Linked DNA regions of Struthio camelus. The protein of the gene in region 4 interacts with the protein of the main gene of each other region in a pairwise test. Links are inferred from orthologs where the notes say so. Each region holds a gene or a part of one and is shown on either strand. Other genes may lie near its edges.

Region 1 (7,711 bases), on a different chromosome or scaffold from region 4:
TGAACTTCACAGGTTGAGGTAGCACATTGAGGAAGTTAAATCTGGTACCCGAAACCACACCTTAATTAAAAGAGAAGATAAAACATTATCTGATTTCAAATTGACTACATATCTTAAGAAACTCTGAATTAAGAATGTCGCTTCAGTTATCTGAACAAAGAGCAAAATGCAAAAAGACAGCATAAAGAATACTAAAAGTGTGTTTTCTATTCTAGCAATCAATTTTAATATAGCAGGGTGCTGCTAGTGACCCAGCAATGGAGTTTTTGAATAAAATTTATTCTTGATATCCAGTATTGATACTCAAAAGACTAAATAACTTAGAAAATGCTATTCCATCACAATCAAATACAACTATAAGCACATGTGTAACAGAAGCTTTTAATCCGTGAAAAAATATTTCTTGTAAGAACCAGCAGATGTTGTTGGAAGCATTACCCCCATGGATAGAAAAATCTCTATACTTAACTGTTTGAAAACGTCCTTTGCTGCTTTGTGGAGGACAGGAAGCCTCACGACCGAAGCCTGCCTCTAACAATGGCATTTTGCCAACAGGACTTGCAGGGCATGTTCTCAATTTGTTTTTTTTTTTTATTTTATTTTTAGTTACATCTGCAGATGCACTTAAAAAAATAAAATCACGCTTCTCAGTTTTCCCAGAAGCTGCATATAGCTGAAATTTTCCCTACCTGTCCCCCTTACTTTCCCAAACACCAATTTCATCTTGCAGTGAATGATCAGTGCAATTTGTTTATTTTCAGCAATGTATTAACTACTATATGTATAAACTGTATGTAAGGTAATGCATTAACTACAATTTGTTCAATTAAGTGTTTTCCCCCGGTCTATTAGGAACATTGTTTTTCTCAATGCTTTGTTCTCTCCCTCCTCATCTTCAACTTTATTTTAAAATACTGCTCCATTTGAACTTCCTACAGACAATTTAAAATCCCCTTCAAACTCCACTACACTTTCCTTTATTTTTCACTCACTGGGTAACAAGCTATGGAAATACTTAGCAAAGATAAAAAAGTACTGTCAGTCAAATGCTGAGCTTGATTTAATGAGACAGAAAAAATCGACTACCATAGATTTCTAATTGTTTTACCAGCTGAAAGCATCAAAGTAAACGGAGAATCTGACAGCCAGATATTAGGCAAAAGTAGGGAAAGGATCTGAATGCCTCTGCCCCAAGCGTCAGGCCTATACTGCTCTTATAGGTGCCAGTGACAAGCTCTATCTGCGCTCCAACCCAAAGGCTCTGGGACTGCGTCAACGCTATGTGGAAGCAGTCACATGGCTCTTGGACTGCAGCCGGCTCACATTCTGCTGGTTCAGAGTTTGTTCCCTTCTATTTACAAAAGACTGCGTAGACATACCACAGGAGAGAGCAGGGTAAAGCACAGGGTGAGCTGGGTGGAGGTAGACCATTCCTCCGCATCAGCCTTCTCGCGTCCCCTCAACTCTTTGCAGGTCAAGAACCAAGATGAATTATGACAGAATCATCAGCTCGATGTTACTAAGGGTTTTTATCAGCTAAGGGTCTGACCCAAGTCCTCACTTCTCACAAGGCACGTGCTTACATGCTGCTCCAAAGGTTCCCATGAAGCCCACATGTAAGACCATTTAGCTTCTGAACAGAGCTGTTATCATGGGAAATACACACCGCAAGGTCCCTCGGGGATGAACCACGCAGTCAGCTACGCTAGAAACTTGTGATACCGACTAGCATGCTGCCAACCGGCCCTGCCGCGGGGAGGACGGGCGCCGGCAGAGGGAGATCACCTCTGCCCTGTTACTTGCCTAGCACTCACAACCCACTCACGCCGAGTCAGACGCGATCCCCGCCCATGCCATCGAGTCGCCCCCTTTTGCAGGCACCGGGACGGCACCGGGCCCTCTACGGGGGACGAAGGCAACTTCCCGCTCCGCTCTGGGGCTCCCGGGGGCCGGCGCTGCGCAGCGTCGCACTCCGCCCCGGCGGGACCCCCCACCCCCACCCCCGCGGAGGACACGTGCTCCGGCCCCGCCACCTCCACCCCCCCACACACACGCACGCACGCACGCACACGCGGGGACAGAGGGGCGGCGGGCCCCGAGCGGGAAGCGCGGCGGCGCCCCACGGGCTCCAGCGCCTGCCACGTGGGAGCCACCCGCGGCGCCGCGCGGCGCCGCGGCCCCGCCCCGAGGCGGGGGCTGCGGTAACGCCGGCCCCGCGCGCCCCGCACGCGGCGGCCGGGGCCGCTTCCGCGGTCAGACCCACGAGCCCGACGCGGCGGCGGCGGTGGCGGCCGCTGCTTCCGGTCCGAACCCTGCCCGGGCGGATCTATGTGGCGGGCGGGGGGGGGGAGGGGGGCCCGCGGGCAGAGGAGGGAGGGTTAAGGTGAGGCTGGAGGTGACGGCGGCGTGACCGTTCCACTCCTCCCCCCCGCCCCCGCCGCCGCCGCGGAGATGGAGGCACCCGGAGGGAGCGCGCGCGCGCCCCCGCGCGCCCCGAGCCGCAGCGCTATAGCAACGTTCCAAGCAACGAACAAAGAGTCCCCCCCCGCCCCCCCTGCCTCCCCCGCCGCCCGCCCCGCGCCCCACGGGCAGGGGGAGGGGCGGCGGCGCCGGGGGCCCCGCGCCGCGGCCGGGGGAGGGGCCGGCCCGGGCCTGCCGCTCGCTCTTCCCCCCCCCCCACCCCGTTCCTCCCCTGGTCGCCGGGGCGGCGCTCCCCACCGAGGGCTGCGCGGAGCGGCGCCCCTCCCGCCACTGCGCCGGGGAGCGGCGGCGGGACTTACCTAGGCTGCCTGTGGGGGCACGGGAGCCCCGGGACTGCGGGGGCGGCTGGAGCGGCCGCCGCTGGTGCCCGCGCTTCCCCCCCGCTCTTTGTGTGCGAGGGTCCGCGCGCTGCGCTCTCGCGTGACGTGACGGGACCGTGTGTCATTTCCGCACAAGGACACTGAGCCCCAAGCCGCCGCGGCCAGCGCCACCCGCCGCCCCGGGGCAGGGGCAGAGGCGGGAGGGGAGGGGGGAGGAGCAGGCCGCTCTCCCCCCTCCTCTTCCCCCCTCCTTCCCCACCCCCCGCCCTCCCCGGCGCTGCCACAGGGAACGCGGTTCCCACTGGAGACCCCGCGCGCGCCCGCCCCCGCCGCGCTCCTCGCGAGCGAGCACGCGCGCGCGCGCGCGCGCTGCCCACTCGGCGGCGCGGGGGCAGCCCAACGGCCGGGCGCGAGCGAGCCGCGCCGCGCCGCGCCGCGCGCCATGGCCGCGAGCAGCGCCGGCGGGCACGGCCCCGGCCCCCCGCGCCGCCCCTGCCGCACGTGGGCCCGGCCCGGGGACGCCGAAGGACACGCGGCGCGCTCTGCCTCGGCAGCCGCCGCGTGGAAGCGAGTGGCAAGGCCGGCACCGCCGCCGCCGCCCCCGGGGGTGGTGGTGGTGGGGGAGCCACGCACGGCACGGCCGCCACCCCGGCAGCCCGCGCCGGTCGCGCGGCGGCGGCGGGCCGCGCACGTGCAGGCGGCGGCGGCGGCTGTGAGCTTGCGCTCGCCGAGCTGGGGGCCGAGCGGCGACCGGGCGGGCGGGAGATGGGGGACGGCGTGGGGGGGCAAGGGGGGCGGTGTCCCCGCCGGGCGGGCGGCCACCACCGCGTGGCCATGGCCGGCGACGGGAAGCGGCGAGCACGTGGCCGCGCGGCCCCGCCGGGGGCGGCGCGCGTGAGGCCAACGGCCGCTCCCGCCCCGCGGCCAACGGTCGCCTCCTCCCCCCCCACCCCCCACGGCCGGCGGAGACCTGAGGGAAACGGCCGCCCGCCGCCCCACGCGGGTCCTGCCGCGAGTCCCCACGGGCGCCGTGTGTGCCGGCGCGGGCAGAGCGGCCGCCCCTGCGGCTCCCGGAGTCCCGGCCCTCGCTGGCCGCGGCCTTTCGGAGGGGCCGTACCGGGCCTGGCGCTGGGAGCTGGCTGTAAAGCCTTCAAATAAATCCCCATGTCGTAACGCCTGCCAGGAATCCCTCATGTCGTTATTTGGGCAGCGCGTGATGAAAGTGTGAAGAATCGCTCATTAGTTATGACACTTGTTCGCCGTACGCGCGCGCTCGCTGACTTGACCCAGAAGGCGATTTTTCTGATGAGCTGGCGCTTCTGGACACACCGTGGCAGGCTCGCGGCATGGTTGGAAGTGGTGCTGCTCCGCACACTGCCTGCCTTTATGCAATGCGAAAGCCTTCTTTCGTGTTTCTTATTGCCAGGTAAGGAAAGCTGGCATTTGGTGCTGTTTTAGGCTGCAGCCTGTACTTGTAAAAACAGAAATTCAGTAGGCTCTGTTTAATTCACTTCCAGGCTTGAGGATTTTATGTTCTTTCCTTCATCACTTTCACGAGAGAATTTTTTCTTGCTTCACATTTGTGGGGCTGATGGCTGCAATGATTTATAAAACAGAGATCACATTCTTTTTTAATTAAGTATCCTTGTAGATCTTATCTTTTTTTTTTTTTCTGAGTTTGACACAGGCATTACATTAGTTTGGCAGTTCTTACTTGCTCTTGCTACTAAAAGCTTGTAGAAAAACATTTCCCAAAGATTTAAAAAAAAAAAAGAAAAGAAAATATGGGACAGGGAAGTCCAATATTGTAAGCTTTGGCCTGTTATGGCAATTGTACGCTTTAACTATATTTAATGACCCTGAAATTAGCAACGTATCAAACTCGACAACTTTTTGTGAAATGTTTTATTTGTACAATGAACTCAGCTGGCGCTGCTATTCCGATTAAATAGATGCCTCTTGCCTTTTAATAAAAACACATGCACAGGAAATTCCCTTTCTAATTACATTGTAATGAAGTTTCAATTTTTCCAGAGTGAAAGGAATAAGTCCAAAGGTGTTACGTTATTAAAAATAAATAGATAAGGATGGATCCTGCCATGAAGGGTGATGGAACTCACAGAATTTCAGCATAAGGGACTGTTAAACGGAAATGACAAGTAGTAGAAGCAATTTAGCAACAACCAAACGTGTAAGTAGAACACCTCGGCTTTGAGCATTGCTGTGGATTCAACAGATGAATCTTTAATGTCTGTTACCTACTGAAACTGCATTTCGCTATAATAAACCTACCTTTTCTTTTTTTAGGAAAAGCAAATACAAAAACATGCAAGTCAAACAATTGAGAAATAACACCATGGGAAACAAAATCAAATGCCCCATAAATAACTCTTTCCTAGATATTTCCTATTTCCTCAGACTTGAACAACATAAACAGTGGGTCTTAAAAAAAAAGCCACCATTTCAGATTTTCAGTGCTTCCTTTAGAAACAGTTCTCTGTAATTTCATTCTTCCAGTTACGCGGCTCTTCTAAATTTGGAATTTAGGGCTGCTGGCATATTTACAGGGTCATATTCCATGAATAATCCTAACAGATAATAGTTTGTTGATCTTAACCTTAACTGCTCTTTTTTTTTAATTATAGACAACTGTTTAAAGGCGCTTTTAAAAGCAGGAACTACCCGCACTATAACTACTCTGATGAATCACTTGAATGAAGGATGCATTTTATTAACAAGACAAGCGCTCTGCAGTTAGCAATTCATTCAGCCTTTAGAGATAAAGAGCACTTCCAGATAACTTTTCTGAGCCTGTTAGCACTATAAAAAAGACTTAAGTTTATAGTATGATGATCCCTCTCCCTTTATTGTAAAGCTAATTGAAGGAGTACAGGGTATAATGGCTTAACACCTGGCCCAGCTGTTAAGTAGTGCTATATCTCAGCTGGATTTTACTTGAATGCTTTACTGAGTGGGATTAAGCAAAGGCGACCATAAGGCAAGAGCAAGACGGTGGAATCCCAAACTCAGTTTCAGAGCCCTTGAGAAAATACTTGCCAGTTTGAACTCCACCTCGGTTCTGCTCTATAGCGCTGGCCTGAGGCAGTCTAGCTACTAGGGACCCAAGCCCAGGAGGTGACCTGAAGGGCCTCAGCTAAGCATAAAGAAGCATGAGCATATTGTTGCAATAACAACATTCACTGAAAAGGGAGCAAGCCAAGTTGTCTCCAGGCAATGCAGGTAGCAAGCTTAGATTGGCTTCCTAGCCAGACAAGTCCCAATTTTTTCACTATTTGAACCTGTGCTACACAAGTCATTTATTCAAGTGTTCATTTTTTCCCTTCGTGCCTTTGGCTCAAAAGCCACTCTGTGACCCTACCGCAATCTCTGGAAAATTCCAGGTCACCAGGGAGGGAAGGGGGAGGGAAGGCTCTGGTGCTTCAACAAGAAAACTCTTCAGGAAGAAAATCATGATTGCTCTTGAGTGCAAACAATGGGCCATTTCTCACTTGACCAAACCGAAACTATAGATTTGCAGCCATCGACACTGGCAAAACTGTGTTCAGAGCTGCTTGCAAGCTGAAAGCACCATTTGCAGTTGGAGTTTAATAAGGGTGGACTATGATGGTTCCTTAAAAGTTTACCTGTAGAAACCGTAAGGTGCCAGGCTGCCTCCTCCCCCTCCCGCCCTGCAGAATACCCTCTCTGTGTTAGTTCAAAGGATGCAGTCAGGCAGGGAGTCCCCTCGCGGTGCCGAGGAACCGCAGAGCTGGCAGGGAGCTCCTCCACGCTCCCTGCTGCAGTGGGCCCCCAGCTGGAAGCCACACCAGTGCAGGACGCTGAGGGTTATGGCACGGCACGACAACATGGACCGGGAGAATGAGTCTAAAGGTAGAGGCCTCTCTGCTTCCAGTGCCACATGCATTTGGCATAAGCAAGAATCCAACCTAAAACTTTCAGCTGGCCTTCTTTCTTCTAGATTCTTGCAATACCCTGCAGCGCTCACTCAGTAGGCAGAGGCGGAGCATGTGACACACCAACACGGACATCGAAAGCACTATCAGCACCAACTCATTCTGGCAGTTTGATTCCGTAAAAAACATTGCTATGCTACCAGTATAACATCTTTCACCATTCTCCACCACACATCTTGAAACCAGGCCACCTTGCACCCGACACCAGATGCAAGAGTCATGGTGTCTGGAAGGAAAGCCAAGAAGCATCGTAGCGGTTAGGACGCCCTTGCGTCCAGACCCAGTTCCTTGCAACTTATGGGCATTTTATATTAGGACCCTCATGGGAAAACAAGTCCCATGTCCTTTAGGGACAAGCCTCACTGATAACCAGGCTTTCTTCTGCCTGCTTGTGGGATGTCTTGATGATTCCTGCCTTGCTGGCCGCACACTGTGTGTGCAATGGGTGCAGGTGGGCGTCCCCTCCTGCGTGGCAGCCCAGCAGCAATCTTCTGAAATACGGGTACAATCTTCTTTATGTGATCACGGTTTGAAAGCTGAGGCTGGAGGAGTGCTTTGCCACTGGCCTTGCCTAGGGGACGGAGGCTAACGTCTACTGCTGGCTCCCAGTGCCAGCGCTGGGGAGGGACAAGCACCTAATTTAAATGGACTGGATTGCCCTCTAGAGGCAAGCCAGGTAGGCTGGCTCCCCACAGCAGGTGTCCTGCTGAAGTCTTCCCACTAACTCCATGTGACAAGCTGGGAGTCAGGCACTGACCAAAATCGGGCAGGTACCTAAATTAGGCAGCTCGGATTTCATCAGAAATTATTTAGGCATATATTTGATATAAATAAGCTTCAAAGAGATTGAACAGGTTTGTCAAAAAAGAAAGTACACAGGTTTTGAAATTTAAACCAGCGTGATTTTTAGGACTTTCAGAAAATCTGAAAGACACC
Region 2 (8,197 bases), on a different chromosome or scaffold from region 4:
ATGAGAGAGCACCACCGTCCTGGGGAAAAACAGATGGATGGACAGAGTCAGCAAAGGCAAGAGAGAGAACCACAGGCAAACTCCTTCCTGGAGAAGGAGGAATATCAAGGGTATTTTTAATAGCCAGCCTTAAAACTGCACTGTTGGAACATTGTTTGAACACTACTCTCTCCAGGAAGTGTGGGTGGGAGTGTAGGCTCTCATTAAGAACAAATCTTCTCCTCAGCCCTAAATATAAGTGTGATCCAGATGGAACAAAATAAAAGTTAAGCCACCGTAGGCTAGAGGAGGCATTTGCCATCACAGAGAAATCAGTCTACAAGTCATTTCCTGTAGCCTCTTTTTCTAGTCACCTGTGGTTTTCTAATGCAGTTAAACCACACTTCACATTTGTTACAGGCCAGGAAACAAGAACTGCAAAATCTGATTTGCAGTCACAGCAGCCGAACCTTTACGTTAAATAAGCAGCCACAAGGTATATTGTGCTCTACTGCCTAAAAGTCCAAAGCCCGCACGGCCAAAGAACTGGGAGATCAGATACGGTGAGAAAATACAAAATTATGTTTTAAATTCACACTGTTTTTGATGCACGTCAGAAAGTTGTCAGCAATTACCAAAGCTGTGGAGAGAAAAGAAACATTTTCTACCTGATCCACTAAGAAGTGGTGCAAATAACGAGTCTTCACACACCAAGTGGTGTCTCTATACGCAGCCTGCTGCTCTATATAAATAGCTTCACCACAAACAACATATGAACACAGCGATTAGTCACACTGCCTATATATTAAATGCAGATTTGGATTACCTTGTTCAAAATGAGAGTATTTTAAGCCTATGCAACAATTTGTGCTAGAAAAGAGTGTTCAAGAGCTGCTCACCATTGTTTATGTTCAACAGCAATTTTTTGGGTCAAACGCACAGAGAGATCCCAACAAGGCAGATAACGTTTATTGCCCACGTGAAGGCTTTTTCCGCTAACATCAGCGAACGCTGGATGTCTAAGAGTCCTTTCGCGGTCTCTGTTTCAAAGCTAGCATCTTCTTGGAACGAGGACAAAGCCGGGAGTATCTGGGAAGCCAGTGTGAATACTGGCACTACACCAAGCTACCAGATGCCTTTTTTTTCCCCCATACGTGCAGAGTGACCCCCCAGGACAGAATGAGCTGTTGTTATGCGGAAGCAGCAAAGTGTGTTTGCCACAAAGAAGACTAAAAGAACAAAAAGAGCAACACACTGCCTTGCTGCGTTGCCAGGTGGGGCTACCTGAGAGCAAAAGTATGGTGTAGCCACTTGGGGAAGTAATTTTATTTTTTCCGCATCGTTGGGGGATTTACACACCTTTTCTTAGGCCTTTTCCTTGCCACAAAAAGCAGTGCTGTCTACCCTAATTCTCACGTAGAAGTATCAGAAAGACTTAAAAACTATACAAGTGTTATAATAAATTATCCCAAGCCTGAAAGCACTCCGATTAAATATTAGTTTAGTTAAATTGGGCAAAATTTGGACTCCAGGTGCTTGCCTCTCTCCAGAAGTCCTCAGGAAGGAAAAATAATTAGAAAAAAATCTCACTGAACGCGCACCTCTGCCTTTATCTTCTTTACACAACAAGTAGGTACAGTGCTGTCGGCTCCAGAGATGACCTGAGAGCGCTGAAAGGTGGTTACCGCTTCGTGGAGATAAAGTGGCACATCATCTGTCAACCACGCAACGGTGCTGCTCCACGTAAATGTCAGTGCTCCAGATTCAGAACCCTTTCTGGCGGCTTGTGCTAACAGGAACGCTGACAAACGACACCGTGGCAAGAGAAAGCCTCCGCTTGGCAATACTCAGGCAGAGCACAGCAAAGCAAATAAAAAAAACTAAAGCTCTCAACCCAATGGAGCCGGTGTCCAAACGAGGCCTGCACAACCACAAAAAAGCTCAAAAAACTGCTATTCTAGAGGAAGCAGTACAATCCTTTTTCTGCATCTAATTTAAAAGAGCATTTCTGTTTAGGATACTGACACGTGACAGATAGTACTTTCACCACGATCTCCCACCCGCCCCAAGCGAAAATCATTTCGCGCTCTGAGGCCTTGGAGACTCCCTTTGGAGGATTTCTAAAAGGCCGGAACGAACACAACGGCAAAGCCCCCCGATGAAAACATTGAGCAACGTCCACAGAGCTCCACCACTACGCCTCTCTGCCACCCCGTAAAGCCAAAACCCAGCAGGTTAATTCCTGCACCTGAAACGGTTGCACAAGAAGTCAAATGTCAAACCAGAAAGCAAGCCAAAGCCTGAATTCAGGTTTCTGCACCACAGTTTCTCAGATCATCTCTGCGCTAGAACACCACCAGATCCCTCCTCGTGACCTCGGCGCTGTGGCATCCACTTCCCCAGCCTGCATTTGGCTCTGATTAAACAACAGATTAGAGCAACGCTTGTACCAGTCGCTTGGCACTTGTACAAGCGTGTAATTCTCCTGTGCAACGAGAGAATTATCCAGTAGGCAGCATAAACATCCTCTAAGAGACCAACTCAATGCAGGAACGTAAAGCGTAGATACTTTGTATTTCTTTTTCTTGCTCAGTTCATAACAAATCAACAGCATTAATTTACAAGAAAAACAAGTGAAGAGGGAGAGAAATAGTTTTGAATCAGCTACCAGCAGAAGCAAGAAAAATCTCACCCCAACCCCAACCATTGACCCCGCTCCCTTTAGGCATGCTGCATCACCCAGCCATCCAGTATTCAGAAACGGTCAAGCGCTTCTGAAATCTCCAACTCTGACAGCTCTTAAGATTACGTTTCTTTATGCCCTTGCCAAAGGGTTGCAGAAACTCCAAGCTGTTTGGACACGTTCCCAGGAGAAGTCTCCTCAAGCAGTTAAAAAAATATATATTCGGCACCCTTCGTGATTTTTCTACCTTGTACCACCGAGACCGAGAGCTAGACCCTGCTCTGCAAGATGCTCCACCACCACAGCCGTCCTCCGCCCACGGACTAGCGGAGCGGGAGGCAGTTTGGACCATATTCATTTAAAACTTGCCCCCTCCGCGCTGCCAGGGAGGACAGGAGAGGCGGCGAGGGTTTCCCCGTCCTGGCCTGCCGGGAGCCGGGCAGCGGCCGTGCCCCACCACCCCGCGCAGCCAGGCCCCCGTCCCTGGCACGCGCGTACCCCCGGCGGCGCGCAGGCGGCAGCTCTCCGCATCGCCAGGGCGCCGCGGCCGGCCGCGCCACGAACCCGGGCGGCGAGCGGGGGCCCGAGACCCGCGCCGCCAAGTCGTCTGACTGCATCTAGACGTTTTCCGTTTCTGACTGCATCTAGACGTTTTCCGTTTGCGGCAGGCTGGTTTCTCGTCCGTCTTGCCGCTAGCTTTCACTCCTGCCTCGGAAGGCAGGCTGCGCCCTCCCGCAGCTCACACCGAGTTACTAGCAGATGTCTGGAGGCACCGTCCTCGGGGAGCCTAACGCTCGACTGCGGGCAGGGGAACAAGCGAGTCGCTCGCGTACCTTGGCCACAACTCGCAAGCCAACGGGTGCGTCCAGGAGGAGACAAGGCCGCGGCTCGGCACGGCGGGGCTACGCCTACCCGCCCGCCCGGATCGGGCCCCTGCAAAAACCTGTCGCTCGCTCTGCGAAGGCCAGGGCCAGCCCTCACCCCCAGCGCCGTTCGCGCTAGCGCTCGGGCGCGGAAGCCCCGCCGTCCCGCAGCCAGCCAGGACGCCGCGCGACTGAAAACGCCTTGCCACCGCCTCCTTGGCGCGGCTCTGACAAAGGCGCAGGCGGCCGGGCCCCCCCGCGCCCTCTCCGCCGACGCAGGGCGGGATCCGAGCCGCGGCCAGGGCCAGGGCCGGCGGCGGGGCCCCTTCGGCCGCCGCCTCCCGCCGCCGGGCCCAGGCCGCGGGGCCCGGCCCGGCCCGGCCCGAGCGGGTCCTGCTGCCGGGGCGGGGGGTCGGGACCCCCCCCCGACCCACGCCGCGCCCCCGAATCACCCCGGCCCCCCCCGGCCCAAATCACCCCCGAACCGCCCCAGCATCACCTCACACCCTGCCCCCTCCCCGCGCCCTGCCAACGGCGCCGGGGCGCGGCCCGGCCCGGCCCGCCCGCTCCCACCTGCCGCGCCACCTCGGCCGCCGCCATCGCTGCCAGCCCGCCAGCAGGGCCCGCCCCGGCCGGGCGGCGCCGCACCGGGCCGCGCCCAGCGCCGCCGCCGCGCGCGGGGGGGGGGGGGGAGGAGCCCGCGCCGCCGCCCCACCGAGGCGCGCGGGGCTCCCCGGCCCCCCCCGCGGCCCCTCGCGGTGGTGCAGCCCGCGCCGCGGGCCGGGCGCTGGGGCCGGGGGGGGCACCGGGACTAGGGGGGGGGCAGGGACCGGGGGGCACCGGGACTGGGGGGGGGCAGGGACCGGGGGGCACCGGGACTAGGGGGCAGAGAGGACCGGGGGGCACCGGGACTGGGGGGGGGCAGGGACCGGGGGGCACCGGGACTAGGGGGGGGGCAGGGACCGGGGGGCACCGGGACTAAGGGGCAGAGAGGACCGGGGGGGCACCGGGACTGGGGGGGGGCAGGGACCGGGGGGCACCGGGACTAGGGGGACTGAGAGGGCCGGGGGGGCACCGGGACTGGGGGGGGGCAGGGACCGGGGGGCACCGGGACTAGGGGGGGGCAGGGACCGAGGGGCACCGGGACTAAGGGGCAGAGAGGACCGGGGGGGCACCAGGACAGGGGAGCTGAGAGGGCCGGGGGGGTTGGAGGGGGCACCAGGACTGGGGGGGCACCAGGACCGGGGGGCAGAGAGGGCCCGGGGGGACAGGGGGGCAGGGCCGAGGGGGCTGAGAGGGCCGGGGGGGCACCGGGACTGGGGGGCAGAGAGGGCTGGGGGGGGCCCAGGGACTGGGGCCTGTGGGGCCTGGGCTGGTGGGGACAGGGGGGCCTAAGTCTCCGTAAATTGCTTGCTACGTAAAATAAAACACGTGCGCGTTTTGTGCGCGTCCCTGGAGGCCCATCCATGCTCTCCTACGACCTGGACCCATGGCTGCTGCGCTGGGGTGTTTCCGGAGCGCAGCTCGCAGGCCGCGCTGGGCGAGGAGGGGGCGGCCGCCCCGCGCGGCCCCGGGGGCCTGGCCGCTGGCGTGGGGTGGCCGGGGGGCGCAGCGGGGTGCGTGTAGGATTTTCTCAAGCTCAACTCCTTCAGCCGGGGCTGAGTTGCAGCTTCCTTTGCGTTTGGAGGTCGGCCTGGCGGTGGAGGTGCAGCGGGCCGGGGCGCGGGCGGCAGCCAGCAGGCTCCCAGGGGCTGGAGCTCGCCGGGATCGTTTGACGCTCTCTACCTGGGCTTACACGTTGCTGACGTTGAGGGGGTTTTGTCACAGAATCACAGAATGGTTGAGGTTGGCAGGGACCTCTGGAGATCATCTAGTCCAACCTCCCTGCTCAAGCAGGGTCACCTAGAGCATATTGCCCAGGATCACATCCAGATGGGTTTTGAATATGTCCAGCGAAGGAGACTCCACTACCTCTCTGGGCAACCTCTTCCAGTGCTCTGTCACCCTCACAGTGAAGAAGTTTTTTCTCAGGTTCAGGTGGAACTTCCTGTGGTTCAGTTTCTGCCCGTTGCCTCTTGTCCTGTTGCTGGGCACCACGGAGAAGAGACTGGCCTCATCCTCTTGACACTCCCCCTTCAGATACTTGTACACGTTGATGAGATCCCCTCTCAGTCTTCTCTTCTCCAAGCTAAACAGGCCCAGCTCTCGCAGCCTTTCTTCACAGGAGAAACGCTCCAGTCCCCTCATCATCTTTGTAGCCCTCCCCTGGACTCTCTCCAGGAGTGCCATCTCTCTCTTGTACTGGGGAGCCCAGAACTGGACACAGTACTCCAAGTGAGGCCTCCCCAGGGCTGAGGAGAGGGGCAGGATCACCTCCCTCGACCTGCTGGCAACGCTCTGCCTAATGCACCCCAGGAGACCATTGGCCTTCTTGGCCACAAGGGCACACTGCTGGCTCATGGTTAACTTGTTGTCCACCAGCACTCCCAGGTCCTTCTCGGCAGAGCTGCTTTCCAGCAGGTCAACCCCCAGCCTGTACTGGTGCATGGGGTTATTCCTCCCGAGGCGCAGGACCTTGCACTTGCCTTTGTTCAACTTCAGGAGGTTCCTCAAACCTCATGAAACCTCATGTTGTCACCTTGGACGACTGCGAGACTGCCTTGGCCTCCCGCGGGCGCGCGTTCCCGCCGGGGACCGGCACGAGCGGCGGCCCGGTCCGTGTCTCTTGCTTCCCTGAGTGCGCAGGAGCCTCCGAAGGTTGTTGCCCAGGCCAGCAGCTGGGGAGAGGGAGCGAGGGGACGCGCGCGCTGCCCAGGCGCCCCGGCGGAGCGGCTGCCGGCGGACGGAGAGCCGCCCGGCCCGGCTGCCTCGGCGGCGGGGGAGAAGCGAGGAGGAGGAAGGAGCCGGGGGAGGAAGGCCGGGGAGAGCGGGCTGGGGCTGCGGGAAGGGCGAGCCAAGCCAGCTGGCGACCGCTCCAGCCTGGCGGGGGCGTGGGCGGAGGCGGGGGGGGGGGACGTGGTGGCTTTCAGGGCTGCCGGAATTTGTCCTGGTTCCTGGTGAAACGAGGAGGGCAAAACCGCTTGCGCGGCGGCCGCCGGCGGGGGGCAGCGCGGAGCCCTGCGCGGCGGCAGGTGGCGGCGCGGGGCGGAGCGGGGCCGGGGCGGCGCGGAGCGGTGCGGAGCGGGGCCGGGCGGCGGCGGCCGCCAGCATGGCCCGGCCGGAGGGCGCCCGGGCGGCGGAGCGGCAGGTCGCCGGCGCGGCCCCGGCTCTGGCCTGGCCGCCGGGCGCCGGGAGCCGCGGCGGCCCCGGGCTGCCGCTGCCGCCGCCGCCGGCGGCCGAGCCCGGCCGGAGCGGGCGGCGGGGCGCGGGCGGCGGGGCTGGCGCGGCGGGCAGGCTCTCCGTCGGCCCCGGCAGCGGCCGCAGGAAGGAGCTCAAGGGAGTCTTCCTGCCGAGCAACGGTCCCGGCGGCGCCGCCCAGCAGCTCTGCGACGGCGGCGGCGGCTCGCTCGCGGGGCTGCGCCGCCGGCGGGAGCCGGAGCCCGAGGGCAGCCCCGAGGTCCTGTCCCTCGCCCTCGACCCCCTGGAGCACGAGTGGCTGCTGACGGTGGCCCAGGGCGACTCGGAGAGCATCCTCCGCCTCCTGGACCTGGACCCCAGCCTGCTCACCCGGAAAGACTTCGTGACGGGCTTCACCGCTCTCCACTGGCTCGCCAAGCACGGCCACCACGAAAGCCTCATCACGGTCATCTCCCACGCGCAGAAGAAGGGCTACCCGGTCAACGTGAACGTCGCCGCGGCCAGCGGCGGGCTCACCCCGCTGCACCTGGCCGCCTTGCAGGGCCACGAGATGCTCATCAAGGTGCTCGTCGGGGCTTACGGGGCGGACGCCAGCCGCAGGGACCACAGCGGGCGCAAGGCCTGGCAGTACCTGCGGGCGGACGCCTCCTGGGAGCTGAAGGAGCTGGCGGGGGCCCTGGAGGAGGACTTGGCGCAGCTGGGCGCCCACAACACCAACAACAACTGTAAGTCATCCAGGGAGGCCCGGGCAGGCGCAGGGGACTGCGTGGACTCGGGGGCTGAGGGGAAAAAACAGCGGTCCCGGAGCCTGTCGACCCTCCGGGACTTTGTCAGGCAGGCGTTTGCTTTCTTCCAAGAGCGCTGAAGCGTCCCCGGCCCGCGTTGCCTGGAGACCCCGCGCCGAACAGCGGCCACGCCGGGCTGGGAGCCTGGCGGGCGCTAGCGCTTGCAGCCACCAGCCGAGCGGGGATCAACCCCCGGCACGGGGCGCGGAGGCTGCGCCCGCGCTTTCGGCCTCGTGCGGCTGCGAGCGCGCGTGCGGGCTGCCCTCGGCCGCCGGGAGCGCTTTCCGGCGACCGCTTTTCCCCTGCAAAACCCCCTGCCTCCTGCGGCTACGCTGCCAGGCCCGGGGGCCTCCTGCCCTGCTCGCTGGGGACCGGCGCCGCTGGGGCACCAGTTCCACCGCGGAGGCAGGAGCCCGCTCCCTGCTCACGCGCTCGCCCCGCTGATGGGATCTGGTTTTCCGACCCCGCGGCCCGGCAAGGAGGGGAGGTGGCGTCTGTGCGGGGCGCCAGGGAGCCGAAGGGTCGGCTGCCGCGCCTGGCCCGCTGGAGGGCTCTCCGTGGGAGCTCCGGCAGGTCGCGCCGACGCTCCG
Region 3 (7,144 bases), on a different chromosome or scaffold from region 4:
CCTCACAAATAAAAATACTGCCAGCTACATGCTAATTTAACACAGTGAAGTGTGACAGTAGATGCCTTCACACACACAGCAATATTTAAGACACAGCCCCTGCCCAAAGCATACACAAAATCAGAAGCTAAGCCACACACAGAACAGACAGATTAGATTAGGAACAGTTTTACCATTGCACTTTCTCATGAACGTTACTCTGAACGGATAGCTCATGAACATGGTGACAGAAAGGAGATTGAGGAAGTTTTAAGACATAAACACCGTTTAATCTCTGCAAAAGCCCTTCAATCACTTAACTACAAGTTTGTTCGTAGAACTTCCTCCTACCTCAAGCTCTCATAAACTCAATCAGTAAATTAGAGTTATTATTCAATTTGTTAACATATGCATTTTGAAACCCATATCCTCATACATCTCAGAACCTGCGTATACAGTATCATCTTTTCTTATATTCTTCCACCATTAGGTTCCTGCCCTGTAACATCCACCACAGGAAAATAGAAGCAGAAATAAGATCTTAATGAGAAGCAGCTGTATCGCAATTGGATGTAAACAAAAGAAACAACCCCCCCCACCATCAACCAAGCTACTCTGTAGCCCCAAGTAATCACCATGTGATCCCAAAGATGCTAAGATTTCTGGTTTTTTCTTCCTTTTTTTTTTTTCCCCTTTTTTAAAAGGAAACCAGGCATAATAATGCATTTCACAGTTCTTCTAGATAGGTTAACGGTAACTATACAAAGCAGCTATGTGCTCTTAACTAGTGACATTGAGAATCAGACCCAATATTAAGCTTGGCTAGAGTTAATAGTATTAGAGACATCACAGAAGAAAGTCTTACTATTGATCCAAGAGATACAAGTCTCCTTCCAGTTACAGGGGTAGATGCATTCTTTTCACTGTTCAGATTTGTCTCACCTAAATAAGGATGCAGACAAGAATGGTGAAGGGAGCATGCATGCATGCATGCGATGAAGAAAGTTTCACTAAATTAGGAAAAGGTTAAGCAACTTTGTATACAAAAGACAGGATGCTATTTGATTATTAGACTACCTACCTCACAACCCAAGGCTAGCTATTTTCTTACTGCAAGCAAGCAGTTCAGTATTAAATCAGTCCAGCGCTCATAGTTCAGAAATAGATCACCAGGTGACAACCAATCTTGAGAACTCATTTTCTGCTGAGTTTCTCCCCCCACCCCCACTCCACATTCCCACTGTCAGTTTTCAGCTAAGGAACAGTGTTTGTTTTGTTTTTCCCCTCAGCTATACAACTCAAAATGCCACCCATTAAAAGCAAGGCTAGAAAAGTAGTTAAACCATTTAGTTGAATTCAAAATGGAGCACTTCCTAGTCACTAGAAATTGCACAGAAGGATTATTTTTGAAAGAGATTCAATTAAGTTGTAAAATTCATGTCTTTACAACTGCCAGCCATGACAGCTGGAAGACAGTCAGTAAATCCCACCCAGAGAAAACAAAAACCAAAAACAGAGCAGAAGCAGCATGTAAGCACTTTCATTCTTAGCTTTTAAAGGTATTGTATTGTTGTACTTTGTATATATTTTAGGGCTACTTACTCTTCTGTCTCCTAACCCGTTGATGTGTTTCAGAAGACAGAGAACTTCTTACTGTATCCAATGATTTGACATCATAGGATCCTGGCAGCAGAGTACATGCAAGAAACGAAATATTCAGAACAGCAAAGAACTAATAAGGAAAATGATAACGGTGAGTTAAAGCTGGTAACACACCTAAGTTAGACCTAATTTTAAAAACAACACCATCACAACCCCCACAACAACCCATCTCAGTTTTCCTCCGTAAATATGAGGAGGACACATGGTTGGGGGAAGGGGTGGAGAGAGATTACTGCAGCGCTAGTGAGATCATTGTCGACTACTCAATTTAACTTTCTTTTGGGTACCCCAACAAACGTTAGGAGTTCTGCTTCACATACAGAGTGTTTCAAGACAGCTCATCAGCAGTAGCGGAGCATTAAATTCAATTTGAAAGAAAGCAGTTAAAAGATATTATAGCTAATTAGAGAGAGAGCCACTCTAAAGCAAAGTAAAGGGGACAGAACAAACCCTCATCTATTCTTTTTTAAAGTCCTCTTCCAGTTTGGAAGAACAGAATATTTAGGTGTTAATGGATTCCAGACTTCTCATCCTAATAACTAAACTACTTACTCCTTTATTAAAAGAATCTAAAGAGTTGAGAAAAACTCGAAGGAAAACAGAAAAAAAAAAAAAGCAGAAACAACATAGCTACAAATTCTTTGTATAATCATAACCAGGTGGTCTCAAGCCCAGTAAACGCCCACTCACTTTGTTCAGTTTCATAAGTAACTACAGAGAGAGGAGAGCAACTTCATGTAACTTATCCTCTGAGAACAGGCAACAGCATGAAGCAGGTATGCGGCCACAGCCAAAAGCTCGTGAGGAAAAGCATTTATGCTGGAAATTGCTGTCAGCAACCGTACTTCAGTCAGGAGAAAGAAAGCCTGTACGGTTTTTTGTAGCTTTGTGTCATAACATGAGAGAGCCATGACATCTTGGATCCGTCCGCTCTAGCTTTCAGTAGCTAGCCTGTTAGCCTACAGCCAGGATTCAGCCTGAGGCCGGCCACTTTCCTCACAGCGGACTGCCACACCAGCTTAAGCGAGAGCTCCCCGAGCGCGGCGAGGCCCCGAGAAGCAGAGGCAGAAGGGCCGGGCCGTGCTCAGAGGCATCCCAGAGCCGCGGGCCGGTCCCCTCCCACAGCCGCTGATGCGGAAAACTCCAGCCGGGTCCCCCGCGCCGCCCCCATCCCGCGCTCCCAGCGAGGGGCCAGGCGCGGCGCGGCGCAGCGCAGCGCACGTACCGGAGCTCTCGTTGAAGCGCCGGAGCGGAGCTCTGGAGAACGCCATGGCCACAGGCAGCAACCGCCGTTAGCCCCACTAGGCATTCGAACGGCACCAACGGCCGCCACGCGCCGCCGACAGCCAATCACCTCCCGCGGCGCGGCGTGCACTCAGCCAATCACCGCCTCCCCCCACATGACGCACGCGCAGCACCCTCCGCAGCCTTGCTGCCGCGGGGGGGAAAGGGGACGGCTTTGCTTGTACGCATGCGCGCGGGGAGGGGCCCTGCCCTGGCTTCCGGGTGGGCCGCGTGAGGGTGGCGGCGTCTGCGTCGTCATGTCGGCGCCGTTCGAGGAGCGGAGCGGGGTGGTGCCCTGCGCCACCCCCTGGGGCCGCTGGTACCAGACGCTGGAGGAGGTGTTCATCGAGGTGCGCGTGCCGCCGGGCACCCGGGCCCGCGACGTGCGCTGCAGCCTGCGGAGCCGCCACGTCGCGCTCGCCGTGGGGGGCGAGGAGGTGCTGCAGGTACCGCGGGGGGGGGGAGGGGCAGGCGGCCGTTGCGCCCTCAGCCCCCGCGGCGGCGGCCGTTACGCGGACACTCGTTTTCACTTCAGAAACGCTCCTGATTCCACGTTTGTAACGTAGTATAACTTAATGTTTTAAGTGGGGTGAATAAACTGCAGTGAGTCAAAAAAGACTTTCTGTTGCTGGAGTATATTTTCAAGAAAAATAAGTTCCGCTGCGTGGTGCGTTGCCGTTCACCGCTAAAAGAGCCAGAATCATCTTTGCAAATGAAAGAGAACATGGGAGTCAGGACGTCTGAAAGCAGCTGCGTTCTGACCTTTTGTAATATTGTTGAAGTCCTCTGATATTTATACCAGTCTCTTTCTGAAAGCAGACATTAGGTAATACGCTATTTCTGAAGTGATAGCTTGAAAGGTAGTATAATTTCTCAAAATGTGCTACAGAGGTTTTTTTTTTTTTCCGGAAAGATTTCTTTTTTTCTGGTTTTGGTCCAGTTCTGATTCTCCGTGTGTAGCTCTGTAAAATGAGCCATCGTTATTGCCAGACTGAGAAGCTGTAGATTCAGCTGAGGAGATGATGAGGATTAAATATAAATCTGCTTTCTCATTGGAAGTGAGCAATAAATTCTTTGTATCATAATGTATTTACATTGCGCCATAGGTGGGCATGGCCCTTAGCAGACACTGGAATTCTGATGGCAAGGCAATTAAAAATGGCATTCCCCCCTGAGAACACAGCCCCTTTCATTGAATGGAGATACTGAAACAGTGACAGGTATTTTTATTGCATTAAACACTTATTTTCTAATATTTTTGTTGTGTAACAAAATAATTATTTGCTAGTCTAGGTGCAAGTGTAGATTTGTGGGGCCAGATTGCCCTTTTCAGTAGAGTGGAAGAATGCAAGCTGGGAGTAACACTTTGCAATTTCACAGAAACTGGATACTAAACAGGTTTTCCTGTTATGTAATATTGTAAATGTCTTTTGCAGGGTAAACTTTTTGACTCCACAATAGCTGATGAAGGAACGTGGACATTAGGTAATGATCTGTTTCCAAAGTGACATTTTGAAAGGCAGCAGTTGTTTTCCAAATATGATACAGGAAAGTAGAGGTGGTTTTTTTTTTTTTTTTTTTACAGGAAAGATTATTTATTTTCTGATTTTGGTCAGGTTCTGATTCTCCATATGTAGTGTAAAATAGGCCGTAATTACTGCCAGACTAAGGAGATGTAAATTCAGTTGATGAGATAATCAGGATTAGATATTAATTTTCTATCTTTTTTATGTGATATGTGATTTTAAGCATAGGTAGCGCAAAAAATTTAGCGATTAAGATTAATGGAGAAATGCCAGATCTGGGAAGACAGTATTCAAGGGATTACAAACTTTCCTTAGAATAAACATTAAGTTTTTAGCAAGCGAATGGTGAGAAGTTTTTAATAAACTCTCCTAAAAATTAAACAGGTGCAGTTATGTGATTCAGGTCTCTCTGTCATTGTTACTTTTCTGTATTCTCTCCTCTTCCTCTCAAGCCTTATGTTTTGGGATAGGTGACAAAACCTACAATCCTAAAGAATCAACAAGTGGTATAAAAATCAGGCTAAGGTACCTAACTACAGATAAAGAGAAAAAAACTTCTCTGATCATTGCATCACAAATATTGTGAAGTGTTCAGTTTTAATAAAAAAAATTATGTAAACTGTGCTTCTCACTTAATGTTTTCCTAGGATGGTTTTGTTTTCTGGCTAGTATCAACATTGATGAACGATTTGTTGTCTTAATCATGAATATTAGAAGTGTGAAGCCCACTCTTTCCCAGTACGTGAATAACCTTCAAAATGCACCATATCATGCTGCATTTATTCAGTTAGCGCTAAAACATTCTACGTGATAACTCCGAGATGTTCTTTCAGTATAGCCATTGTTCATAAGAGTACTGTCTACATTTTAAAAAAAAAAAGATGATTATACCTCCATAAGTCACTTAAACTTACTTCTGACTTTTACTGGTAATAACATTCTGTAAAGCTGTCAGCCTGACTTCAAATCTGTAATTATTGCCTTAGCAGAGCTGTATGTATTAATAGGTTAAATCTCTTCTCACATGTGAACCCCTCGAAGAAGTTAGTTTATGTTTGAAACAGAAGTTCTTATGAACTGCGTTTTAACCTCCCAGAACAGCTTCAACATTTTAAAGGCCAGAAGCGCGGGAATGGCTGCATAAGGTTGTCTCTGCTTGAGCTTTTCCATTTCTTGTTGTTGTTATTATTTACTAATAGCCCTGTTGGCATCAGTGTTAAGAATTTAAATCACTTCAGCAAAAAATTCCATGCTTCAACATGTTAATGGTGAACTCAGCAAAACAACAAAAAAAAGTAGCACACGGGACAGCGTCTAATGGTTGTTTTCTGTGGCTCTCTTCAATCAATAGAGGACAGGAAATTGATACGAATTGTTCTAACAAAGACAAACCGCGATGCTGGAAATTGTTGGACGTCGCTGTTAGAAAATGAATACGCTGCTGATCCTTGGGTACAGGACCAGATGCAAAGGAAACTCACGCTGGAGCGATTCCAAAGAGAGGCAAGTCAGAGGACTGATTACTGCTTGTATTTTGCATTTGCACACATGGGTCAGGACTGTGAAAGCTGAGCAAAATTATTTTGCTGTCCAGTAGCAAGATCCTGGAAACAAATACTTTAATGCAATACTAATTAATTAAAGTATTAATTAATACTTTCATACTTTAATGTATAGAATTTTCATTAGGCTTTATCAGAGTACTTTTAAGAACTTGCTGTTCTGTCTGAATGTTTGGTGAGAAGTTAAGGTTAGTTTTGGGGAAAAGGAAAAAAATGTTTTAGTGTTTGATGCATAATTCTTTTCAACAACTTTTCATTTAAGTTAGGGTACGTACGATTTCTCTTATTCTCTAAGATTATAGTTTAGAAGTTTGTTTTAAATACAGCTAACATCAAGCTCTCATGACTATATTTACATATAATATCAGATGATGGAGAGCTGGCAAATATTTTCCTTGCCCTTTTACTAAAATTGATTTTAACCATTTTCATACACCTTTAGCAGTCAGCTGTCTCTGTTTGTTTTTGCAGACTTGTGGAAGTACAGCTAATTAGTTAACAGCTGAATCAGCACATTACTCTTAGCTAAAAAGAGCACTGTTTTTATTTTAATCGCTATCCAGCACAGCAGGTACTTATGCTTTCAGATAGTAATTTAAAGGGACACCAAAAGTCAGAAAGCTTACTCCAACATTTGTTAATATTTCTTTACTGGGAGATCTGACAAACTGAGGATGGCATTATAAAGTCACTTGGGCAGTGGGCAACGCAACTGTGACAATTCAAGGTTTATTTGTTGATGCATTCTCCAAGCGGAATTTCAGTGCGGTGACAGCTTTGAATTGTGTAGCAAGCTGATAGTTATATGTCCTTGTTAGAATCACAGAAAGTTAACAGAAACGTTGGTTTATACGCTTGTATTAAGTATAATCTGTATACTAAATTTTTCTTTTACGTCCATCAGAACCCTGGATTTGACTTCAGTGGGGCAGAAATTTCTGGAAATTACAGCAAAGGAGGACCAGACTTCTCTAGTCTTGAAAAGTAAACTGTTTTCCCCTGTGTCCCTTGAGAGGGATAATACAACGCACTTAAGGACTGGAATGCGTAACTGGTGAAGACTTCCGTGATCTATTTGGCAGAATGTTGGCAATTACTTATTTCTATGAGAGAAAGAAGATCTCTTCCAGT
Region 4 (7,514 bases):
ACTGCTGGCAATGCAGGCACGACCCACATGGGGCATGCACCCACCAGCAATGGCTGCACACCCTGCCTGTGCTATGCACCCGGGGTGATGCAGGTGATGCATGCACCCCCCCCATGCAGGCAACGCACCCACAGGTGTTGCATGCACACCCACATGAGCCATGTACCAGAGGTGACGCATGCAAACCCCATCTGAGCCATGCACCCACAGGCAATGCATGCACACCCGACACGGGCCATGCATCCAGGGATGATGCATGCAAACCCCACGTGGGCCATGCAGCCATGGGTCATGCATGCATAGCCCACATGCAGCATGTGCCCGGGGAGATGCACGCCCACCCTACCGAGGCCTCCCTCCCCCCAGGTGTTGTATGCACACCCCACATGGGGCAGGCACCCACAGGCAATGCAAGCATGACCATACGGAGCATGCACCCGAGGTGATGCATGCACACCTCACGTGGGCCATGCACCCAGGGGAGATGCATGCACACCCCATGCAGGCCATGCACCCAGGGGAGATGCGTGCAAACCCCACGTGGGCCATGCACCCAGGGGTGATGCATGCACACCCCACGTGGGCCATGCACCCAGGGGTGATGCATGCACACCCCATGTGGGCCATGAACCCAGGGGTGATGCGTGCAAACCCCACGCGGGCCACGCACCCAGGGGTGATGCATGCACACCCCACGCAGGCCATGCACGCAGGGGTGATGCGTGCATACCCCAGGCGGACCATGCACCCAGGGGTGATGCTATGCTTGCAGACCCCAGGCAGGCAATGCACCCGGGGTGATGCATGCACACCCCACGCGGGCCATGCACCTAGGGGTGATGCGTGCACACCCCACGCGGGCTATGCACCCGGGGTGATGCATGCACACCCCACGTGGGCTATGCACCCGGGGTGTTGCTTGCAGATTCCAGGCAGGCAATGCATCCAGGGTGATGCATGCACACCCCACGCGGACCACGCACCCGGGATGATGCATGCACACCCCACGCAGGCCATGCACCCAGGGGTGATGCTTGCACACCCCAGGCGGGCTATGCACCCAGGGGTGATGCGTGCACACCCCACGCGGGCCATGCACCTACATCTAGGGGTGATGCATGCACACCTCACGCGGGCCATGCACGCAGGAGTGATGCGTGCACACCCCAGGCGGGCCGTGCCCCGGGGGCGATGCACGGATGCCCGGTGCCCACCACCACGGGCGGGGCGGGCACGCCGGGGCGGGCCGGGCGGCGCACGGCACCCGCCGCCAGCGCTCACCTGGCTCCGCGCTCGCCGCCCGCACCGCTCCCCACCGGGGTCCCGCCGAGGGGCGGTGGCACGGCCACCTCCCTGCCAGCCCCCCGCCCCGTCGGGCGGCGCAGCGCCGCCAGCATCCATCCCCGCAAGCCGTTGGCTGTATCCATGGCAACTGTTAGCAACGCGGCTCCTCATTGGCCAGCTTTCTAACGCCCCCTCTCCTCCGCCGCCATTTTTGTGAGGGGCAAGATCATCTCCTCCCCGGCGGTGCCACCGCTGAGGGGCGCCGCCCCCAACCCAAGACACCGCCATCTTTGTGAAGGGCAGCGGGGGGCGCCCCTTCAACTCCTGAGCGGCCATCTTTGTGTGGGGCAGGGGGCCGCCAAGGCAGTCTGTGTCGGCTCTCTTTTCTAAAGTGCTTTTCCCCTTCGCACCTGGATGAGAGGTGGTGGAAAAGCAGCAAATCACACATCCTCGGGGAGGCCGGTAGGAAGGACACAAGGCAGGCAAGCGCTGCAGTCAGCAGGTGAGCTCGCCCCCAGAAGAGCGTCCAATGCCGTGAGGCGTGCGGCCCCGGTGTCCGGCACAGCTGGGCAAGGGAGGATGGATCAAAGCTACCAGCAGCGCGGGAGAGAAGCTGTGCTGGGGGCGTGCGAGCTGCAGGGCCCTTGGCGTTACAAGCTGTTGAACGCACAAGGCCCGTCTTTGGTGCGAGGCCAGAAAAGCCTGCAGAAAGCACCAACATCTGACCTAGTACATACTGAAACAGAGATAAGCACTAGAGGAGATCGGCGGCCAGCAAGAGCCTGGTCTGAGCCTTGGCCCTCTGGCTCTGGGCCTCTGCCTCTGCAGAACTAGCTCCACCCGCCTCCTGGTACCCCTGGTCCTGTCGGAGCGAGCAAGGGAGCTCTAACAGGCCAGGCCTCCCCGCAAGCGCGCTGCGGCCCAGCGCTCCCCTAGGCACCCGCGTCTCCTGCGTGGGACGGGGCGGCGGCGGCAGCGGGGGCAGCCGCCATGGCGGGCCGGCGTCCCCATGGCAACGGCCGCGGCCCGCAGGGCAGGGGGCCGGGCCAATGGGGAGCGGGCGGGGCGGGACGCCGGGCGGGCGGGCCAATGGGGCGCGGCGGCGGTGACGCGGCGGAAGTGGCGGTCAGCTGACGGCGCGCGCCGCGCGGGCCCGGCGGGAGCCATGGACGAGACGAGCCCGCTGGTGTCGCCGGAGCGGGCGCAGGCCCCGGACTACGGGCTTCCCGGCGGCGCCGTGCGCGCCCCGCTGCCGCCGCCGCCACCCCCGCCCCCGCCCTCGCCGCCCGGCTCCCCCGGCGGCCGCGACCGCGAGCGGCAGCCGCTGCTGGAGCGCGGCGCGCGCGGCCCCGGCGCGGCGGCGGCGGCGCAGGCCCAGGCCCAGGCTCAGGCCCAGGCGGCGGCGGCGGCGGCGGCGGCGGCGGCGGCGGCTGCTCAGCGGGAGCGGAACGACTTCCCCGAGGACCCCGAGTTCGCCGAGGTGGTGCGGCGGGCTGAGCTGGCCAGCGAGCGCGGCATCTACCCCGAGCGCATCTCGCAGGGCTCCAGCGGCAGCTACTTCGTCAAGGACCCGCAGGGGGTGAGCCCGGCACCGGCGGGGCCCCGGGCCCTTCCCCGCGCCCCCGGGAGAGGCCCCCCGGGGCTGGCTGCCTGCCTGCCCTGCCGCCGGTGCAGCCTGGCAGAGGCCTCTGGTGAGGGTGCTGTGCCGGCCTGGCGGAGGGCCCGCCTCGGGCAGGGCTTGGCCGGTGCAAGGGCTGTGCTCACCCTCAGGCCGGGTCAGCTCGTGACATCGATCTGGGCTTCTGTGGATTGATAGGAGCAGCGTGGGGCTGTCCTGCCAGGAGCCCCGGGCGGCTTCCCTCGGTTGGGAACGCCGCAAGGCGTCGCACACGGAGAGCAGTGGAGCCGCAGGAAGGCTGCCCCCTCTTCCGCAGCCCGCTTCTTCCTGCCGATCAGCATCTGCTTACTGTGGTGACCTCAGCCTTAGGGCTGAGGCTTTGATGGCTGCACCATTCTCTGGTCTGTGAGACTGGAGTAAGAGTTCCCCTCTGTGGGCGTGTGGGAGATTGACTCAACACAAAGTCCTCAGCAGAGCTGACTCTCTTTAGATCTGCTTGGCAGCCATCTCCACACCACTGGCTAGTTGCGTGTGCAGCACAGCATGGCTTGCCTTGTGACCTGCAGCGCCCAACTCAAATACTCGAGCTGCTGCTGCTTCCTGTGACTCCCTTGCCAAGTGCCTGCTGGGGTGCTTCCCAGGAAGCAGGACTGGGCTCATGTGTCTTTGCTATGCTCTGGCTTTTCTGCCCTGGGTGGAGGCAGGGAGCTCTCACAGGCAGGTCTCAGCTGCGCTGTCTGTGGGGCAATACAGAGAGTGTGCAACTTCCTTTTGTGCCAGCCTTCTGTTGCCCAACAGGAGACATGGTGTTGTTGCTGGTGTGGGCAGCTGGACAAGCTGCCCTGAGGTTGTAGGGCAGTGGTTGCCTGGCTGTAGGGAGAGGATGCCAGGCCTCAGTGAGGACTGATGGAGGAAGTGTGCAAGGAGCCAAAGTCTGTGTGCTCCTGGCTGTATCCCAGGCCGGTCTCCCTGGCCTATCCTGCTGTGAATAAGGTGCATGTGTTGTTCCTGGGCTGTCCAGGGTCACTGAAACCTGCCTGCTGATGGTGTGGGAGGGAGTGCAGTGCTGTGATGGACAGGCTGGGGCAAGGGAAAGATTGAGGACATTGAGGAAAACCTTCTGAGATGGGGTCAGGTGCTTGCTTCCCTCTGGGAGGCTGAGGACCTGAGCTCTCCCAGCTAGGACCTTACATGATGTGCTTCCTTGCAGTCCTGGCAGTTGAGGTTACCCCAGCTGCTGGCTGGGCCTCCAGGCTGGCTTGGCTCCCCCTTCCCTGCTGCTGGTGCTGATCCATTTTCACTGCTCCACGGTGCTCTGAGCAAGCTACTTCCCAATCTGCCCCCAGCGCAGGTCTGAAAGGGAACACTGCTGCCAGGCCTCTCGTCCTTGCTCCAGGACTATTCCTGCCCTGCTGGACTTGCTCCCCAGGGCATGGTACTGGGAACTCCATGCTGCTAGAGCTCCCAGCCAGCCTGTTGCAGGCTCGAATCCAAGGACATGCTGGCTACCCTGTGTCCTTACATGGGGCTGATAAGGCCTTCCTGCCTATTCTCTAGGTCTTGGCCCACTCTGAGAAGTGGTTCCTCTGTGTGATCTAGGGATGGCTGAAGTGCTGCTGTTCTCCCAACCCTTCCCCTCCCTCTTCCCAGTAGCCAAAGTCTTGCTCCCACTTTCTCCAGGTTGGCTTTGGGCCCCTGGCAGACAATGGGGTTGCCTTGGAAAGAAGGCCCTGGGATCCCTCGCTGAGATGCTGGGGTTGGTGTCCCACTTCTGCACTGTGGCAGGAGCTTGGCTTGGGGAAGTGCCACCCACTCAGGGCAGGGCTAGAGCCAGCTCTGGGGAGGAGGGATGGTCATGTGTGCTGCTGAGTCATCCTGCCTCAGGGGCTGCAAGCTGGGAGCTGCTGCTCAGCCCCTCCGAGGGATCCTGACCACCCAGCTGATTGGGCTGGGGCCGGCAGCCTTGCCCCAGCCCTGTATCTCGGTTGCCTGGGTGGGAGACTTGGCCTGGTGACGATGCAGTGACGATGCACGTGGCCTCTATGCTCTGCATCAGTGGGGTGACCTGTCTCTCTGTGTGACTCTGCCTGCTGTGGGGTTGATAAGCACAAGGCTGGAGTGAGGGGCTGGGGGTGCTCCTGGCACCAGCTGCCGCCCAATTTGCTGATAGGTAGAGATGTCTGCACCTTCCTGCCCACAGGAAAGCCAGGGCCCCTCTGCTGTCTCTAACTGGGCCCTGCAGCACAGAGCCTAGGGCCCCTTGGAGGTCTTTCAGCTGCTGTGCTGCTTCAGCCCTATTGCTTCTGAGCAGCCTGGGGTCAGCTCTGTTCAATGGATATTGGAACCAGAGCAGGGGCCTCTGTCTTCCTCCCTTCTCCTACATGGGTATAATTAGCAGCTGGGAGTGTTAGCTCTTCCCAGACATCCAAAGGTCACTGGACTGGTGCTGAAATATTTACCAGGGCAGGGGACCGCATTGTCAGTGGTGCCCTCTGGGACAAGGAGAGCACTTCCTGGGCGCCTGAGCCAGATGTGAAATCCTTGGGCAGCACTCTGATCTCATGGGATGGGGCACTGGCTGGAGGAAGGATCTGCCCCAGCCCCTGCCTCCCTCCTGGGAGCCCAGAGGCAGGTTATTGCCCTGGTGAGAGGTTGTTCTGGGTCCTCTTCCTGAATATGCATGTGGGCAGTGCTCACAGCAGCTGAGCCAGGGCTGGCAGTAGGTGCCTGGAGAATAAGCCAGGGTGAAGGAAGAGTGACTGCCCCAGTCTAGGGTGTGGATTTCTTGGCAGAGACGAGTGCTGGGGGTGCAGGTTTTTCCCCCTTGCAGTGGGTGGGAGTGCCTGACAGGGGATGATGAGCAGTGCCCAAGCCTCTCCCCTGCTCTGGGAGGGGATCTGAGGTGGCTGATGGGCAGAAAGAAGCAGGGAAAGGCACAGCGGGGCTGGGTACTGCGGGAGGGTGGCTTGGCTGAGTCTGTTCTGTTCTGGCAGAGCCCGTCCCTGCCACAGGCTGGCCCAGGGGTGAGTGTCCTGACTCCCTACCAATTGCCCAGAGAGTCAGCCCTCCTCTCTCTTGTTCTCAGAAAATCATTGGTGTCTTTAAGCCCAAAAATGAGGAGCCGTATGGGCAGCTGAACCCCAAGTGGACCAAGTGGCTGCAGAAATTGTGCTGCCCCTGCTGCTTCGGAAGAGACTGTCTCGTCCTGAACCAGGGCTACCTGTCGGAGGCAGGTGCCAGCCTTGTGGACCAGAAACTGGAACTCAACATTGTTCCCCGCACAAAGGTGAGAGGGCCGCTGCTGGGCTCTTGTTCCAGGGAGTCTCATCTTGTCTGCTTGTCTTGTGGCACTCTAAACCTTGGAAATCTTGTGTTGAGAGCTCTGACCCACGACTGCTCCTGCTCAGGCTGTGGGGAACCTGCTGCTGAGCAGAGCCGTGGGAAGGGCTGTGTCTTGGTGTTATCGGCAAGGCCTCTGAGGCCTCGGTGCCCCAGTTGCCCTAGCTGACTGGCGTGCTGACATCTCCTCAGGTGGTGTATCTGGCCAGTGAGACCTTTAACTACAGTGCCATTGACAGAGTAAAATCCCGAGGAAAGAGATTGGCCCTGGAGAAGGTGCCGAAAGTCGGCCAGCGCTTCAACCGCATTGGTCTGCCACCCAAGGTAGGGCTCTCAGGCTAGGCCTGTGCCTGTCACCACCTCTCCCTCTACTGCTGCCCTGTGTAACGAACTTGCTCCTTCCTTCAGGTGGGCTCCTTCCAGCTCTTTGTGGAAGGCTACAAGGATGCTGACTACTGGCTGCGGCGATTTGAAGCTGAGCCGCTTCCTGAGAACACCAACCGGCAGCTGTTGCTGCAGTTTGAGCGGCTGGTGGTGTTGGACTACATCATCAGGAACACAGGTAGAGCCAGCTGCCTCGCTTGGGGTGCTGCCTGCTCCTTTATGTCCTGCCAGCTGGAGAGAAGGGATGTGGGCAGGAACTTGACAACTCTTCGCAGCACCCAAATCTGTATCAACACCGCTTGGTTGTTGCCAAATGGCAGCTGCCTCTGGGGTGGAGCACAACTGCTGTGGCTACCACCAGCACGGCCAAACTTTGGCTCTAAGCCTGTATTCTGGAGGCCAGGCTGGGGTCTACCCAGGTGCTGGGGCAAAAGTTTGCCAGCTGCAAGGATCCCAGGACATCCAGGGACCCTGCACCAAGCCCCTGACTGTGCTGCAATATCCCAGCTCGTGCTGGGCCTCCCGAGTTCATTCTGGGCTGGAAGGATTATGGGCTGGAGCAGCACTCCTGGGCTGGCAGGCTGACCTTTCTTTGTGCCTCTCCTGAGAGCTGGGAATGCCTGGACCACTTTAGTCTCCTCTTTAGCTGCCTGGGGATTGATGGGGCTTCCCAGGGCTGTAGCTCATGTGGCTGGTTCTCTCTTCCTGCAGATCGGGGCAATGACAACTGGCTCATCAAGTATGATTGTCCCCTGGACAGCGCAGGCGTGCGAGTGAGTGGTTGTTCCTGGGCAGGGGCACCGCAGGGCTTGTCTGCAGCTTGCAAGCTGGTTGCCTGGCAGACAGGCAGGGGACTTCCCAACTGGCTTAGGCTTCGGAGTGTGTGGAG

The links.
Region 1: the proteins of MORN4 (region 4) and BEND3 interact in binary tests that used the Homo sapiens proteins (3 or more experiments, as listed by UniProt). The two-hybrid records come from large-scale screens. The link is inferred for Struthio camelus from reciprocal best matches to the Homo sapiens genes MORN4 and BEND3.
Region 2: the proteins of MORN4 (region 4) and SEPTIN6 interact in binary tests that used the Homo sapiens proteins (3 or more experiments, as listed by UniProt). The two-hybrid records come from large-scale screens. The link is inferred for Struthio camelus from reciprocal best matches to the Homo sapiens genes MORN4 and SEPTIN6.
Region 3: the proteins of MORN4 (region 4) and HMMR interact in binary tests that used the Homo sapiens proteins (3 or more experiments, as listed by UniProt). The two-hybrid records come from large-scale screens. The link is inferred for Struthio camelus from reciprocal best matches to the Homo sapiens genes MORN4 and HMMR.

What each region holds. Positions count from the first base shown.
Region 1 is NC_090944.1:58,877,919-58,885,629, forward strand, and holds the start of BEND3 (BEN domain-containing protein 3), read right to left. Parts: upstream 3,048-7,711; 5' UTR 2,781-3,047; intron 1,951-2,780; exon of another isoform or gene 1,380-1,950; intron 61-1,379; 5' UTR 1-60. UniProt on the Homo sapiens protein: Transcriptional repressor which associates with the NoRC (nucleolar remodeling complex) complex and plays a key role in repressing rDNA transcription.
Region 2 is NC_090952.1:11,991,131-11,999,327, reverse strand, and holds the start of SEPTIN6 (septin-6), read right to left. Parts: upstream 3,209-8,197; 5' UTR 3,194-3,208; coding exon 3,161-3,193; intron 1-3,160. Other genes in the region: ankyrin repeat domain-containing protein SOWAHD, read left to right, coding at 6,734-7,687. UniProt on the Homo sapiens protein: Filament-forming cytoskeletal GTPase. Required for normal organization of the actin cytoskeleton. Involved in cytokinesis. May play a role in HCV RNA replication.
Region 3 is NC_090954.1:15,762,248-15,769,391, reverse strand, and holds the start of HMMR (hyaluronan mediated motility receptor), read right to left. Parts: upstream 3,124-7,144; 5' UTR 2,913-3,123; coding exon 2,867-2,912; intron 1,663-2,866; coding exon 1,582-1,662; intron 922-1,581; coding exon 845-921; intron 1-844. Other genes in the region: NUDCD2 (nudC domain-containing protein 2), read left to right, coding at 3,183-3,371, 4,362-4,410, 5,803-5,954, 6,918-7,001. UniProt on the Homo sapiens protein: Receptor for hyaluronic acid (HA). Involved in cell motility. When hyaluronan binds to HMMR, the phosphorylation of a number of proteins, including PTK2/FAK1 occurs.
Region 4 is NC_090948.1:17,027,031-17,034,544, forward strand, and holds the start of MORN4 (MORN repeat-containing protein 4), read right to left. Parts: upstream 3,188-7,514; 5' UTR 3,049-3,187; intron 2,864-3,048; coding exon of another isoform or gene 2,450-2,863; exon of another isoform or gene 2,413-2,449; intron 1,356-2,412; exon of another isoform or gene 1,282-1,355; intron 1-1,281. Other genes in the region: PI4K2A (phosphatidylinositol 4-kinase type 2-alpha), read left to right, coding at 2,450-2,863, 5,988-6,188, 6,434-6,565, 6,650-6,803, 7,337-7,398. UniProt on the Homo sapiens protein: Plays a role in promoting axonal degeneration following neuronal injury by toxic insult or trauma.